3 linked regions of the Caenorhabditis elegans genome follow. The protein of the gene in region 3 purifies or fractionates together with the protein of the main gene of each other region. This does not show direct contact. Each region holds a gene or a part of one and is shown on either strand. Other genes may lie near its edges.

Region 1 (5,746 bases), on a different chromosome or scaffold from region 3:
CTTTCACGAGTTTTGAAAGTCTATTTTCAACGATTTCTTAAAACTTTTACGCTCGGACATATAGAAATTTGAATTCCACGTGTCTGAAATACCCAAAAATATTTTAGAAATTCGAAAAAAAAAATATTTGACCACAGGTCGGACTCGAACCCTGGTCGTAAGATTTGTTGTTCTCGAAAATCCCACTGCGCCATTCGGGCACTTTTTCCTTAAAACCTGTAAAATCGTTTGTTCATTTACAAGCTGGTCTTTATATGTCTAAACACTGCGTACAAAAATATTTGACCACATGGCGGGCTTGAACCCCGGACTTGTGCGCGATAGTTCTGGAAAATCCCACTGAGCCATTGGTGCATTTTCTCAAAAATTAGGCAAAAGCTAGATTTTAAGCACGGAACCTGATTTCTAGTGAATATTAGTTCATATTTCATTTTCCAGGCTGTGAGACAGTCGTTCATAAGCGGTGCCATGCCCTCATCACCGCCCGCTGCACCTTCGGACCATCTTCCCGAGCTCCGGTTCCTGCTGAAACTACAAATCTGAAAACTCGTCGTAGCCGATCTGCTTCGGAAGAACCTCCATCAAATACTCATCACTTTAACAAGCATTTCTTCACTCGCCCGACATTTTGTGATCACTGTGGAAGTATGCTCTATGGGCTCACGAAGCAAGGCGTTCAGTGCACGGATTGTCATGCAAATGTTCATTTTCGATGCCAGGAAAAGGTTTTGAGGAATTGTGGAATTCAGTGTCAATAAATATTGAAAAAATTGAGAAAAAAAATAAAGAAAAATGAAGAAAATTGGAGAAAGTTAAATTTGATAATCAGTCATAAACTCATATTGTTTTCCGGAATAAAGTTATTATAGTTACAATTGAGGCTCATAAACATCATAACAAAAATATTTGTCACTGTGCGGGTTTGAACCACGGACCTCTGATTGGAAGACATTAAAAATCCCACTGCGCCAATCGGACACTTTCCCGAAAGTTCGATTAAAATGACTTTTGCAGCTTGAAATTTGTTAATCACAGCTTGCAAAAAATAAATACCCTTGTGCGGACTCGAACCCCAGCCGTTTGATTGGAAGACGTTGAAAATCCCACTGCGCCAATCGGACACTTTCCCGAAAGTTCGATTAAAATGACTTTTGCAGCTATAAACTTGTTAATCACAGCTTGCAAAAAATAAATACCCCTGTGCGGACTCGAACCACTGACATCTGATTGAAAGACACTAAAAATCCCACTGCGTCATTAGGACATTTTCCTGAAAATTCGCTAAAAATGAATTTCCCAACTCGAACCTCAATTTCTAAAGCTTGCAAAAAATAAATACCCCTGTGTGGACTCGAACCCCGGACCTCTGATTGATAGACATGGAAAATCCCACTGTGCCATTCGGACATTTTCCTAAAAATTCGATAAAAATCACTTTTGCAGCTATAAACTTGTAAATCACAGCTTGCAAAAAATAAATACCCCTGTGCGGACTCGAACCCCGGACGTTTGATTGGAATAAATTCAGAATCCCACTGCTCCATTCGGAAATTTTCTCGAAAATTCGATTAAAACGTTTTCTTTCGTTATTTTAAAGTTTTTTCAGTGTAAAAATAAACTTTTCACACTCAATTATGTCATACATACCATATAAAAGTTAAAATATTCGTTTTCAGTGTAGTTTTAGTCTGAAAACCCCCACCAAATTTGCATTTTAAATCGTCGTCCGTTGACGTCTGTTCTATGTGTTCATTTCATACTTTTTTGTCAATTCCATGTAAAAAATGACCGTAACTTCTGAAAAAGACGGGTTAAAGAGTATTTTGAGTCAGAAGTATACGGTGGAGCGGAAAGATACCGTGCAGCATGTGCTCGAAGGGCCCGGTTTGAGGTTTGTTGGTTTTAATGAAAACATTTAATTAATTTTTGGGAAAATAAGAAAAACCAGGGAAAAGTGTATAAATTTTCAAAAACTTGAATAATTTCAAAAATATTTTCAAAAAAAAATTCCAAAAAAAAAAAATTTCAAAAAATTTTTTTTTTTTAATTCGAAAAATTCCAAAATTGTTTAATTTCCGATTTCCAGCCGCAACCAAAGCAATGCCAGTGTCCTAACCCTCCCAGGATCCCGAAACACCAGCTCCAACCACTTACCGGCTCAACGGAGCACCTCCGTGGATGAAGTGGCTAGGCATCGGGTCACTTATGAGATGGATGCTGGAAAATCTGAAAAATCTGAAAACCAGAATCCAATCTCTCAATATTATCAGAAAAATCATTATACTGTAACAGGAAATCAGGAAACTTACCAAAAACTTCCCAGGAACATTTCGGCGAACAGATTTCAAGTGGATAAAGCTTCAATTAGTCAGAAAAGTGCTCCGCGAGCCAGTGAGCCAATGGAAATGCCAATGTTACCTCAGGAAAGGCGTAAGTCAGTTTCAAAAAAAAACTACAATTTCCTAAAAGCTATCAAGATGTTTATACGACAAATTAAAAGTTTAGCAGAAAATGTTGGCGGAAAATTTAAATTTTTGAGCAAGAAGTTCAAGTTTTATAAAGATGATTCTTTTAAATTTTAAACTTCACTAGATGATTGGGCGGAAAATTCACATTTTTTCGAAAAAATTTGGCGGAACATCGAATTTTTAATAAGAAAACTTCGGCGAGAAATTCAAAATTTCTCAGAGATTTTTTTTTTCAAAAAATGTATTTTACATTCACATTTTCTCAAATAATTCAGCAGGAACGGCAAGACTTTTCAGAATTTTTAAAAAATAATTTCAAGTTTTCCTGAAAAGTTTTGGCGGGAAATTCAAATTTTCTTTAAAATTTTGACGAGAATTTCAAATGTTCCCAGAAAAATTTAAAGAATTTTCAATTTTTTTAAAAACTAGATTTCGCCCTCACCGACTAAAATTTTTTTCCAGAATTCGACAAATCCTTCTACTGGTTCGCAATGCACCGAAAAAAGTTCGGGCTCCGCTACATAGCTTTGCTGGTTTTGGCGTTGATCTACACACTTTTAGGGGCGACGGTGTTTTATCTGATAGAGGGTTCGAATGAGAAATCGAGACTGCATGTTCGGGAGCAAAACCTAGATAAGTTGTTGGATGAGCTAGCAACTGTGCTCTCAGAAGCCGTCAATGACCCGGAGCAAAGTTCTGAGCATCAGAGGATGAAGGAGTTTATAAAAGTATGGTGGTTTTGAGAAAGCTTGCCGGGATTGTCATTTCAGGAATCCTACATTTCCCTGCAAAAACACGAGGAGCAATACAAATGGAGCACATACTATCGTCTAGAGCACCCTGACAATCTCAAATGGACATTTTCAAGCGCATTTTTCTTCAGTATGAATGTTTACACAACTACCGGTTATGGTACCTGATCCAATTTTCTGTAACTTCAGCCCAATTAATTCCAAGGTTCCAGGTTCAATCTCAGCTCAAACCTTCAGCGGTCAGCTTTTCACAATGATCTACGCATTTTGTTTTGTACCGGTGACACTGGTGATCTTAAGGGATCTAGGCCAGATGTTCTTGGTGAATTTCACAAAATTGTACGCGCACGGGTTGACAGCGGTGAGGAGGATTCGTGGAAAGCGAGAAGTCGATGAGGATGAGATTATACAGCTGCCCATCAAGTTTTGTATGACTATTCTGATAGGTTAGCGGAAAGACCTCTGAAGCTTCGAAGATCTTAGAAGTAGCTCCTGTAGCGTCAAAATGCTCAGAGCTAGCATGTACCCGACTTTGTTTAAGATACCTGAGCTTGACTAGGCTATCCATAGTTTGTTAGACATTCTAACCTCGTCGAAACTTCCTAGAGTCAGCCAGGCAAGCCTAGGCTACCTAGGCTCTCTAACTGTCCTTGAAGACGAGTCTTACATGGTTCAGGCCATCATTTAGCCCGCGGTCTCCAACCTTACCCATCCTCGGTTCCAACTTTCCAGCCTACCTCCTCCTCTGCACCACGTTCGTGTACCTCTACGACGCCGTTATGGGCCCGGAATGGGACGACGGCCTACCGTACTTCACCGCATTCTACTTCTCTTTCATCTCTCTCACAACTATTGGTCTAGGCGATGTGATGCCAAATAATGTTCCGGTAAGCTTTTTGTACCTTTTGTGTTGCTTAATTTCAAAATTTCAGTACGCCCCGCCGGTCTCGATGATATTTTTCATCGGCATGGCAGTCACAAAAGTTGTGAATCGAGCAACATTTATTGCAGTGGAAAATGGGGTTTTTGGCCTGATGACCTTGGCGGAAACCAAGATTAGCATGCTCTTGACGGAACGGAAACCTGGTGTAAAAACTGTCAGATCAACATCATCAGGGTCTTCAGCAGAGTCCGTGGATTCAAAAGAGCCACGTGGATTTGATGGGGACTCGGATAGTGGATCGGATGATGGGGTAAGTCAAGCAGAAGATCAGAGAACATATTATTGCATAATTTGGAACTATAGTCACTCTGAAAAGTAAAAGAATCAAGTGAGAAAAAGTGGGTAAAACTGATAACGTTGGAAGCGTTATTTAAAGTCTGAACATGAGCTTGAGAATAAGCCTCAGCTTAAGTTTAGGCCAGAGTCTAAGCCTAAGCTTAAGCCAAAGCCTAAGCATAAGCCTGAGCCTAAGCTTAATTTCTCGAGTTTCTAGTACCTAAGGATAATCGGCCAACAGGAACCCCCTCAAAAATAATAAAAAAACCGGAAAATCCAAAGCCTAAATAGCGTCAGTAGCGAGCCAACGCTCGCCACTGACGCCAAGCCTGAGCCTAAGCCTAAGAGTAAGATTAAGCCTGAGCCTAAGCCTAAGCCTAAGCCTAAGATTAACCAAAGCCTAAGCCTAGACCTAACCCTAAGCCGAAGCCTAAGCCTAAGCCAAAGCCAAAGCCAAAGCCTAGTTCTAAGCCTGAGCCTAAGCCTAAGCCTGAGCATGAGCCTAAGCTTCAGACTAAGCCTAAGCCTGAACCTAAGCCTAAGCATATGCCTAAGCCTCATACTTTCAGGTAATCAACCGCCGCCGAAACGAGATGATGAACACCTTCACCGTCCGATCAATTGCCACATTCATGCGTTCCAACCATGACGTCTATGGTGGAGGATTCGGAAGAGTTCAACTAAGAAGAGGAGACCTTATGAGCTCTAATGCTTTACATACTGTACCTTGGGTCAGACCCTTACCATAATAAATTTTTCAAACCTTTTCTTTTTCGACCATCAAAGATCCAAGATTGTTCTGGCGTCATTCCAGGGAAAAATGAAAATGAAATGAAAAAAGCGAACTGGGAACAAAAATAATATGTCCACTTGTGGAAATTAACTTTCTCTTTAGTGTCCTCAAGTACAAATATACAAATATGTTGCATTTCTGGACAATTACAGACCATCGGCCACGTAATTTAGCCGACGAAAAAAGTGAAATTATTGCATAGGGGGATGAAACCGTAGCGGAAACCAAAAAGGCGGCGCCTGAAGAAGAGAAGCATAATTATAGTGAAACTTAGTGTTAATTGCCTTCTCTACATTGCCTTGTTTCACATCATTTTCTCCTTCCCCTCATCATCATTCATCAGTCATGGGCATCCGTATCACTTTTCCAGATGTTCGTTGATTCTGGTTTTTTATTTATTATGTGAATTTGTTCTGATCTTTTCTTTTTTTGCGGATTTCCTTATCAGAAACTTTTCGGCTTTGAAGATTAGAATATGCTTTTTTATGTTTCAAAATATCATTACTTATATATT
Region 2 (4,274 bases), 8.2 Mb from region 3:
GCCAATTTCCGGATGATTTCCGATGGGATGGGTGGGCATGCGACGTAGCATAGAAGGCCAATGGAGCGGACGATCTCATGGAGCTGGTCACAGATTCCGGGGGAAGGTTCGTCCTGGAAATTATTGATTTTTAAAACCAGACATCTGATGGGTTCCAAAGAAGATGCTATAAGTTTTGGCAAAGCCCCGATTAGTTTGGCAGCCGACACCTCGCGAGTTTAAAATTTAAACTGAAATCATCTTGAGACCGCCTAAAACTTGCAACCGACTCGAGCAGCCGACACTTTATGGGACATTATGGACCCGAATTATTTTTAGCAAAGAAAAAAAACAATTTTAATGTGAAAAAAGATTTGTATTATGAAATTGAGAATTTCCCAAAAATAGCAGCCGACAACTCGTGGGACTAAGCATGACTCAAGCAGCCAACAAATACCGACTGAAAATTAACTTACCTCTTCGAGACGTAGCATGACGAGATGGGAAACGAAATTAAACGATGATTGAAAAAAGTGTTGTTTTTGTTTTGTGAGCAAGTGTAAATAACAACAAAAACGTGGAATGACGTGGATTTTTTATTGATTTTTTTTCATCGAAAAATTGAAAATGGAATTAAGAGGATATGTGTGACCCGTCGTGGAAAATTGTTAGAGAAAATATACAAAATTTAGAAATGTCTTCGTTTTCTGGTGCCCGCGGCGCTAACCGGGCAGGTTTGTGATGCTCCGGAAAGGATCGAGTTGCGGTACTTCTGGAAGAGTGGGCGGATGAAGTCGTTGGTGGCTCCGTCCCAGGCTCTGAAAATAATTCGTATTTTTGCTAGGCTGTTCAGCGGCCGACACCTAACGGGTCTGGAAAAAAACTCACTTTTGTCGGTTTCCAAGTACTTCCTTGTTCTTCTCGGTCTCCTCCTCGATCTTGTTGTAACGTGAGTCGGAAATCAGCTTCAAGGAGATACTCATGGCTTCTAAATATAAAATTTTAATATAAAATTTTATTAAAAAAGCTTGAACGAACCTTCAACAACTGCTCTGACATGTTTTGGAAGATCTGCATCGTTCTGTCCACATCGGGCCATGGCCTGCTGAAGGATTGATACCCAGACCTAAATATATTCAAAAAATTAGGCTAAAAATAGAAATCTTCTGTCAAAATTTACCTTATCATCTTCATCAATGCTCTCATGAATCGTGTTGAAAGCTGGGAATGGGCGTTTTGCCTGTTGCACACTGTTCGGGAGACCAGCGGCCCGGAATGGTTGGGATTCAACAGCAGAGACCGCAGGTGGGTTTGGCATGAATCTGGAAGTTTGATCGTAAGTTTTGAAAAAGAGGACCAGGAAAGTGTTGGCTGCAGCTTCGACTAATTCCCGTGAGCTGTCGGCTGCAGCAATTATCTGAGCACCCCATAATCTATCAGCTGTGTTTTTAGTAGCCTGCCGAATGTCGGCTGCACCTTTGTTACAAGGTCTACTAAAAGCCAGTTTCAGACTATTTTCAAGCCCGTGAGATGTCCGCGGCTTTCTCAGTTTTTCATGTGTCGACTGGTTCCTAAAGATAGCAACCGACACCTGGCGGGCCGCTAATCAAAAAAACCCCAAAACTCACTCAGTCGGTCTAAACTCAGTTGGAGTCGGGACCTGCACAATATGAGCATTCGAGTAAGCTGCCACAATGACCTCAATCATTCCTTCCAGCCCAAGTGCATATCTTCCTGTCTTGAAATGCCCAATATTCCGTTCAAATGCAGATTTCAACGTGTCCTTCGAGATCTTGGCATCTCTACCAGCAACTGTGAACACTTGACGATCTTGTCTAGAATTCACGATGAGCACTGTAGTGTCGCACATTCCAACGTCCTGAAATTTGAAATTATATACAGGAACATTTAAGAATTAAAAGCAGTTTCAGAAGACATACCTGGAAGTTTTGGTATCTTCTTTTCAAGTTATTGGCGAATTTTTCAATGTCAACTGGAACACCTGGTACACTTCCGATTTTGTCGATTATCGCGACAATTATCTGAAAAATAAGTGATTTAGCTTGGCAAGCTTCTGCCAAAGGTTGGAATCTTTCTGACGCAAGTTCGAAAAAAAAATTTGGCCAGGCTTTGGACTGTTTCATTTTTCGTTTTTTAAATCTTTTTCTGCTCTGCCCGGCCTAAGCCTAAGCCTAAGCCTAGGCCTAAGGCTAAGCCTGAACCTAAGCCGGAGCCTAAACCTAAGTCTACGGTTAAGCCTAAGCCTAAGCCTAAGCCTAGGTCTAGGCTTAAACCGGATTAAAAATTTTCGGAAACTGTTGACTTTCTGGCGCATTTCTACCAACTTCAACATTGTCCAACTCAGTAACTCACCTCCAAATTCCTATCAGGCATCAATGCACATGACGGAGAAGTATTCTTAATTCCAGAAGTCAACGAATGCAATTGATTAACCCTCTGCACCAATCGACTTCTCTCCTCATCGGAAACGATAGCCGACGGATCACAGACTTGCGATGGAAGTGCCAACCGACATGAAAATGGATCTAATCGAGGATCTGGGTAGGTTTGCGATGTGAATTGTGCGACTATGGAGGAGATGAAGAAGAATGGGAAGAGAATTAGGATAGGGTCCAGTTTGGGATGCATTCTGTAATGAAATTTGAAATTTTAGAGGTATGATTCCACAAAAACGGCAAAAAAAAACAAAAATTTTGAAGAGCGGCTTAGGATTTTTTATAACAGTTTCTTTAGAAAACTGAGAAAACTGGAAATTGTTAAAAGAATATTTGACCGAAAACAGGTAAATAAAAATTAAAACTTCAAACTACAAACTACAAACTACAATGACCACAAACTATGTATATTTTTGAACAATTTCTATTGAACATTTCTAACAAGTATTTAAGTATACGAATACAAAACTTTAAACAAAAAAAAGCTGCATACTTTCAAACTACCTGCTAAAACTACGGACTACAAACTACAAGCTACAAACTACAAACTACAAACTACCTATTGCCAAAAATAATTTTTTTCCAATATTTTGGAAATTTTCGAAAAGTTAGACTTCGACAGTTTTGAAAATCTTAAAATGCTTGAAATTGTTGATTTTGAAATTCAATACAATTAAAAATAATTTATACGGAGAAAATATCAAAAAATAGGCGGTAGGCAGGCACTTAGGCATGTCAGCCTTACGGAAATAGTGAATGAATAAAAAGTGTGTGACTCTCGCCGAGATTCACCAAAAGCCACAAGTCACACAAGAATGCTATTCAAGTGGTTTTTGTGAGTTTCAGACGTCTCTATATATATACAATTATATACAGTTACAGTTTACACATGCATACATTACCAAGTAAACTACGAGAAAATTCTAGAAGCTTTCATTTTGAATGGGGGGGGGGGAGGGGAGAATAAACAAAGTGTCTATGTTTCTGAGGACTGTAAACCACTTATGCAAATGCTTAAGAAACAAACTCGCTTGGTTTTGTAACGTTTTGTAAAGTTTTGGAGGAAATTCAAGGGAAATGTAGTTGTAGTAGGTACACTGTAATAAATTAAGGCTGAAAACTGACAGCTGTAGTAGTTTTTTTTTTGGAATTTTCCAAAGATTTTGATTTCAGCTTATAGAAAATTTTATGCTGATCATTTTTGCCTCTTGCCACTTTTTTGTATCTTTTACAGTTAAAAAGTTACACACAGTTTAGCGAGAGCAAAGCTAGAGAGTGTGAAGGGAGGGGAGACGCCGACGACGAGGCGCCCTGCGTCTCTCTCCTCTCCACACTCTCTAGCCCATTGGACTAAAAAGGCTTGTATCTCAGGAACAGTAAGGTCTAGAAAGAAGTTTTCAAATGAAAAAATGCTGGAAATTGTTCGGGGATTTTTAATTTTTTTTTAAGCAAGGAAAAAGAAGCCAATTCTACACAATAATCATTGATCTACTAAAAGTTATGAATGTTGCATAATCTCCAGCCGATAATCTCCCTATAAAGTCGCAAAAAAAGTTGCCAAAAATCTTGAGAGACCTGTTGAAAAGTGTTCAAAAGTGGGCAATGAAGAAGAAGTCAAAGCAACAATCGTCTGCCTGTCGGATAATAAGCTTCACCGGACGGGGGTATCTTCTTCTTCGTCTCCCCTCTTCCCCCTCCTCAGAGGAACCGGCTGATGCCCCCTCTCAACACGCCGAACCAGATCCGAAGACCGTCTGCGTCTCCGGTGGCTTTATCGTTCGCCTCGTTGTTGCCTCCTGGGTGTGTGTGTGTGAACCTATCTCTTCTTCACCCGACGTT
Region 3 (6,706 bases):
TTACCTTACTGATAACTGGATTGACAATATCTTTCTTCGAAATTGGATCCTTTCTACTATGTTGAACTTGCATCACTTCCATTTCATTTTCATCGTTTTTACTTTCATCCCTTATAGATTTGATAATGTCTTTGAAGTACTGTCGCTCGCCTTTCACATTTTTATGGGTTTTTTTCGCCTTCTCGTATAACTCCTCCAATGCTTTTTCCTGCAAAATTATTATTAATATAATTTGTTTAAATATCTGCAACGTACATTCGGAACCTCGTCTGAACCATCTTTCAGGTCATTATGCAACGCTTCAAAAATGTGTTGCATTTGAGCACCTTCAGTCTCCAATTCCATCAACTTCATTGCATCTTTCATCAATGTTTCTTTGAATTCTTCAGAATCTACTTCATTTGAAATAGCATTTTTTGAATTGATATGAAGAACATCCTCAGCAGCCTTTCTCAGACTTTTTCGAATAATTTCCATACTAGTGGCGAGCTGGGTAGACATCTGGAAGGGATTTCACAACTTATTGAACTTCTAAATAACAAAAAAAGATAATTCAAAAATCGTTATATACGAATAACATTAGCCTACAAATGAACATTTAAAATTTAAAATTTTTTATTGAATTAACCCATATTTTCAGAAAGTGATTATGCATGAAAATTTTGAACATAAGGCGATAAAAACCAGGCAGTGAATAAGAAGTGATTAGGTACCCATATTCAATTTTCCTATTCGGACAGAAAGATGGAAAAATATGGAATCTTTGTCGTTTCCCCAAGCTTCGTGTAGAGAAAGCAGCTTTTGTAAAGTAATTCGAACACTTGTTTCACATCGATCCAAATAGTCAAGATCCAACGTGTTGGAGACTGATCTGAAAATAGTAATTTTTCATTTTAAAAAGCTCAATCAAAAAAGCTGCAGTCATGGCTGTAAATGTTTTTTTTTTTGGAAAAAAATACGAAAAATTATGCTTCACAAAACAATTTTGAGTAGAAAAAAATTAAAGTCGAAATTTTAAAAGAAAGTACAATTTTGGTCAACTTGTTTTAGATTTTCAAAATGAAGTTTCAAACTTAATAATTCTTAGTTTTGGTTTTTTGTTGCTTTTTTTGTGTTTTCGGTGGAAAAACTTTTTGATCTGATCTGAAAGTTGAAATTTAAATCCAATGGCATTGAAAGTGCCAAAATATTAATTTAAATGTTTGCATTTAATAATTGTATAACTTACCGTAACCGTATCTCATCTGTCATAGTCATAAACATATCCATATTTTCATGAACCAATCGTCTGATTCCAATGCGTACAACAAGATCTGAGAGCTTCTTGTGACCATCTGTAATCGCATTTTCCACCTGCTTCAAGCTTGTTGCATTCACAATTTGATCACGTGCCGTTCGAAATACATAGCGAACCTGGAAAAGGATATTTGAAAATTATAAAAAAGATATTTAAGAAAACCTTATCAGAGAACAACTCTCTGAAATGTGACACAACTTGTTCGAGTGTGAATACAAAGAAACGAAGTTTTGTTCTAAGTGCTCGATTCATTTTCTCGATTGCATTCGTTTTGTGATGAGCGAGAGAAACATCGATTGTGGATTGTGGACATTTCATTCGAGATAGTAGTTCTTCTGAAACAAAAAATGTAAAATTACATCCTTGACCGGTTGAAAAGCTCACTGTCATTAGCCATCGTAACTAGCAATTCTCTGGTTCGATATGCGCTGTGTGCAAACTTCATACACTGATTCATGACGTCAATAACTTCGGGACGAATGAATGAAGCCAGCATATGCTCGAGCTGAAAAACATTTAATTTTCAAAATTTTATTCCAATGCTAATACCTTGCATGTGAATTCAGATTTTGTTGAAATCCATGAGAATATATTCATATTTTCCTTACTCATCCGACCTCTCGATGCCAACCAAAATGCATCAGCAAAGTTGGTAACATTGGAATCTGATCGGAAGACTGTTGTTGCATATTGCTGTGAAATCGAACCAATGACAACATTCTGAAAGAAAAAGTTTTTGTCAGACACCCATCAATTCTCCGAACTGATAATATTTTTTTTTATCAGTAAATTTAAATCACATGCCTCTAAGTCGACCCACAAGTTGACAAATCGGTTGTTTCTATGTAATTCATTGAGTAGCTCTTGTGCAAACTGATCCTGAAGTAGGAGACATGTATCAAAAAATAGAGATCGGAATTCATCAAATGGTAGAAGATCTTCAGTGAATTTAGCTGCGGCTCGTAATGAATCAAATGCATTCGTGAATGTTTTGACTGGAAATTCAATTAATCCAACACGGATCCGACATTTGACTGCTTCAAGAATGATTTCAATCAGTTCTTCATCCCAAAGTAACGATTGAACTTCTTTGATATCTCGACAAAGTAGAATTTGAGCATCCGGTTTGACGTCACTAAAAATAAAGTTTTAAATTAGTATTTACGGAGTTTTCGTTATAATTTTCAGATTATTTTGATTATTAGTAACATTTCAAACACCATCACTAATCACTTATTCTCCACACCCTGATATCAACCCGTTTATCTCATGGCCATTCTAGCGGAAATAAGTGAAATATGCAAATATCTCTCTAGATATCTCTTCCGAATATGCAATATTTCGCATGGAAATCAAATTAAAAAACGCTGGAGAAATTTGAGAATTGACATGATGGAATTTTTGGAGGAAATTCTGAAAACAGGTTGAATGATGAATGACCATAGCTAGAAAAAAGTATAAAAAGCAATGAGAGAAATCTGATAATTATGTCAAGTCTGAATATGACGTCGACAGCTACTGCATACGCGGCTATTACCGTCGGACTCGTTTCGATCGGATTCATTCTTTTTGCTGTTCAAGGTATCAGCTCCAACATCGAAGATATCCGAAATGAGATGAATATTGAGATGGATGCATGGAAGGTAAGTAAATATAAAGTCCGTTATATGTTATATAGTAATAAAAATGTGAAATTTTAGTTTGAAACTGACAGTCTCTATCGTGATATGCAAAAGTTCGGCCGTGTTAAACGTCAGTATGGAGGATATGGAGCTTCTGGAGCCAACCCAACACCTCACGGTGGATTCCCAGGAGGCGCATCCCCAATGAATCCAGGAAGCTTCCCAGGAGTTGTCGGAGTGCCACCACAATTCAACCCAACACAAGGAGGAGAACCAAATCCAGGAGGATCTTGCAACTGCCAGGCTGACAATTCGTGCCCAGCTGGACCAGCTGGACCAAAGGGAGCTCAAGGATCTGACGGAATCGACGGAATTCCAGGAGTGCCAGGAATCGATGGACAGGATGCTGACGATGCTCAAGCTCAAACTCAACAATATGCAGGATGCTTCACTTGCCCACAGGGACCACAAGGACCACAAGGACCACAAGGAAAGCCAGGAGTTCGTGGAATGCGTGGAGCTCGCGGACAAGGAGCCATGCCAGGACGTGACGGAACTCCAGGACAGCCAGGAAGCCTCGGACCAGTCGGACCAGTCGGACCACAAGGAGAACCAGGATCAGAAGGAGAACCAGGAGCTGATGTCGAACATCAAGTCGGACTTCCAGGACCAAAGGGAATTTCTGGACCAACTGGACAACCAGGAGATCAAGGACCACAAGGAGATACCGGAGCTCAAGGTATTCCAGGAGCACCAGGAGAGCGTGGACCACGTGGAGACAAGGGAGATAATGGAGAGAACGGTTCTGCTGGAGCACCAGGAGAGGAGGGAGAGCCAGGAACTGATGCCGAATATTGTCCATGTCCTCAAAGACAGGAAAGTGCACCAGTCAATGGAAACCAGGGATACAAGAACAGACGTCATTAGATGCGATTATTTATTTTTCTTCTCTTAAATATTTATATAAATTTTTCAAGCAAGAATCTTACGTTTTAAAACTTTAAAAATCATAAAATTGAAACTCACTTGTGCAAAACAAAATAGTCGATAGCTGCAGGAACTCTTCCAATTTCGAAAATATGATCCATAATTGACAACAAAGCGCGAATCCATTTATTTTGTAACAACTTGACAACATCCCTCTTCTTTGCGATGGCATCCATTTGTGTTAACAGGAATACACGATTCCAAGAGTTTTCAATATCTTCCCATAACCAAATATGTCTTCCAACATCATCGCCAATCACTGCTCTCACTATTTCCACCTCTTCCATATTTTTATTTAGTCGAGCCAATGTCTGTAAAGGATCTTCCAGTCGCTCAGCACGAAGTTCGTCGAGATGACAAGCGTGATCTCTAAGAAATTGTTTCACCCAATCACAGAGTACAGTAATCAGTGTCGGAAGCATCAGTTGACTGTGTTCTTCACATCTCTCCACAAATTCACATATTTCGTTAAGCTTCCGATGAGTTCGAGTGAGGTGGTCGGCCAGTGTTCGTAGCTAAAATAACTTAAATAATTGATAGAAGAAATATTAAAAATTTACATAAGATTTTTGAATATTCGCATACGGAGATTCCATTGGAAAATAATAATCCGAGTTCACTTCAAGACCACCAGACGTCAATCTGTATAGAGGCATCGACACACGATCAGTGCATATTCTTCGTTGAGTATTTTTCTGAATTATAACGTTTATTTTTGATAAAAATTATTTTAGTTTTTGAACTAACTTTAACAGGTAAATCAATAAAGTCGATGAGATGAACAGCGAGCCGTTGTTGAGTGAGCAAATAACTGTCTGTTCTCAAAATAAAATGATTAATATTCGTTTTTGAAAATCCGAATTTCTTACCCATTTCTTTGATGTTCCATACTCTTTCTGTACTCTTGACATCGTTTTACATTGCTATCATGAAACTTTTTTATTTGATGATTCTTACGAGATGAGTTGAACTTCTAAAAAAAAACAGTTTATAAAAAGTTTTCGTTCATCTTCAATTACCTGTAGAACAGCTGGAAACGGATCTCTAGGTGTCGTGAGACATACTGCAGAATCAGCACGTGAGATGTCTCCGCTTCCTCCTTCGTCACGATCTTCTAGACAAGAATTGTAGAACATTGTCTGAAATTTGTTCTAACTATTTCTATATTTGGTTCCCTACAGTACCTCCTGCGTGCATTGATCGAATTCCACAGAAATTCCAACATCGTCGTCTTCATTCATACCTGAATTATATTTTCCTATTTTCAAATACCACAACACATAAATAGAAATTCTGATGAATATAAATACAGATAATTGAATATCTTCTCAAAAATCAAACGACAAAAATTTATTCGAATTATTATTCGTCTCATAGAAGTATCATAATCAAAACACTAAAACTACTGAAATTGTCTAGAAATAACGAGAAAACAGCTCATCAAAATATCTACATTGAACCGATTACCAATCGTTCGAATTAAAAGCTATAGGACTGAGTGAATAAGGGGAAAAGCACCAAAATTAGTTAAATTCAGACTAGTCATTTTCATGGCGTTGGCGGAGAGTCCGATCGGAGATAAGAAGATGCAAATTGTTCGAGATTTCGGAGAAGAAACACTGCTTTTCCTCTGAAAATTAATTTTATTAATTCTTGACACAGATCTAAGAGGACATACTTGATTGTTCCCAATGTTCGAATTGTTGAATCAACTGCATCAATTTGTGTCTTCTGTACATCCAAATCGTTTTTCATTTCTCTATGGACTCCACCAACAGTTGCTTTCAATCCGTCAAAGACTTGGTCCATTTCTCTGAAAACAACAAATTGAATTGAAAACTATACGGTTTAAAAAATACCTGATAGCTTGTGTTTCACAGTGATGAGTATGAGCTGTTGAAACTTGTTGCATTCGAGCAGCTAAATGTGATCTGAACTGTTCTTTCAAATGTTGTTCCTTGGCTCCCGAATTCCAGCGCATTCGTTCCCATGCATATAGTCCAGCGTAGGCCGCTCCTCCGACAGCAATTACTCTCCAACCAACAGCCTTATACACAATACCACCAACAACTAGCACTCCAAGACTTCCGTTTGCTAAAAATGCGGCTGATGTCAAAACCATTTGAGTCATCATTGCCTGTTCTTCGGAAGCTGCAGAAGCTTCTGCATCTCTCACTGAATTCTTTTCGGATTGTTGTTTTAGTGATAATGGAGTAAGCAAATTGGTGTTGATTGCAGTGACAGGTTGGCCGCTTCGATACGCAATGATGCGACGAATTATTGCGTGTAGACCAAATGTGAATCGGAACTCGAGGTCTTCATGGAAATCACTGAAAAATGTAAGAATGAAACACAAAAAATCCATCGAAACTCACTTGACAAGAGCAGGGACATCGACACAAATGCTAAATTTGAAAGGAGCACGATATCGCCACACTTCTTCAAGCTTATTCTGATAAGGTTCGGCGAGGATTTTTGTCACATATTCTGGAAAAAAAATTTTTTATAACACATCAGTTCCCAGATAAACACTTACGGAACATATCATTCTCCAAATTCCAAATTCTTGACATTAGGCCACCGGTACATCTAGCTTCCAAATCACTGCTCAAACATTTGTCCACAAAGATTGCCAAATCCTCTTTATACTTTGTCATTCCGGAAGAGCTTCCATCGAAAGGTTGTTCAAATCGATCAATTATTGCATCAAGTCGTGCTATTTCTTCAAAGAAATCAGCAGAAACTTTCAGATGAACTTCGGCTCGCAGTTGCTCTGTCTGCTCACGGTAAGCTTTTTCAA

The links.
Region 1: the proteins of gtap-1 (region 3) and twk-36 fractionate together in Caenorhabditis elegans (co-fractionation; one large-scale study listed by BioGRID). This does not show direct contact.
Region 2: the proteins of gtap-1 (region 3) and F01D5.6 fractionate together in Caenorhabditis elegans (co-fractionation; one large-scale study listed by BioGRID). This does not show direct contact.

What each region holds. Positions count from the first base shown.
Region 1 is NC_003283.11:17,743,093-17,748,838, reverse strand, and holds twk-36 (Potassium channel domain-containing protein), read left to right. Parts: upstream 1-1,779; 5' UTR 1,780-1,784; coding exon 1,785-1,891; intron 1,892-2,086; coding exon 2,087-2,430; intron 2,431-2,930; coding exon 2,931-3,196; intron 3,197-3,238; coding exon 3,239-3,380; intron 3,381-3,432; coding exon 3,433-3,666; intron 3,667-3,952; coding exon 3,953-4,107; intron 4,108-4,152; coding exon 4,153-4,413; intron 4,414-5,008; coding exon 5,009-5,188; downstream 5,189-5,746. Other genes in the region: R12G8.1 (Phorbol-ester/DAG-type domain-containing protein), read left to right, coding at 439-758.
Region 2 is NC_003280.10:14,004,865-14,009,138, reverse strand, and holds F01D5.6 (TPM domain-containing protein), read right to left. Parts: upstream 2,630-4,274; 5' UTR 2,629-2,629; coding exon 2,353-2,628; intron 2,022-2,352; coding exon 1,920-2,021; intron 1,859-1,919; coding exon 1,608-1,858; intron 1,410-1,607; exon of another isoform or gene 1,304-1,409; intron 1,302-1,303; coding exon 1,160-1,301; intron 1,106-1,159; coding exon 1,018-1,105; intron 968-1,017; coding exon 868-967; intron 798-867; coding exon 668-797; 3' UTR 551-667; downstream 1-550. Other genes in the region: F01D5.7 (Serine aminopeptidase S33 domain-containing protein), read right to left, coding at 1-113, 456-473.
Region 3 is NC_003280.10:5,828,086-5,834,791, forward strand, and holds gtap-1 (Dynein heavy chain 7, axonemal), read right to left. Parts: upstream 5,152-6,706; 5' UTR 5,148-5,151; coding exon 5,091-5,147; intron 5,046-5,090; coding exon 4,926-5,045; intron 4,880-4,925; coding exon 4,776-4,879; intron 4,727-4,775; coding exon 4,654-4,726; intron 4,602-4,653; coding exon 4,467-4,601; intron 4,422-4,466; coding exon 3,946-4,421; intron 3,938-3,945; exon of another isoform or gene 3,847-3,937; coding exon of another isoform or gene 2,998-3,846; intron 2,941-2,997; coding exon of another isoform or gene 2,800-2,940; exon of another isoform or gene 2,433-2,799; coding exon 2,102-2,432; intron 2,018-2,101; coding exon 1,847-2,017; intron 1,803-1,846; coding exon 1,682-1,802; intron 1,633-1,681; coding exon 1,460-1,632; intron 1,414-1,459; coding exon 1,229-1,413; intron 872-1,228; coding exon 706-871; 3' UTR 597-705; downstream 1-596. Other genes in the region: ZK1248.11 (E3 SUMO-protein ligase NSE2), read right to left, coding at 5-208, 256-501; col-74 (Nematode cuticle collagen N-terminal domain-containing protein), read left to right, coding at 2,800-2,940, 2,998-3,846; Transmembrane GTPase fzo-1, read right to left, coding at 5,455-5,536, 5,585-5,719, 5,766-6,236, 6,282-6,393, 6,443-6,706.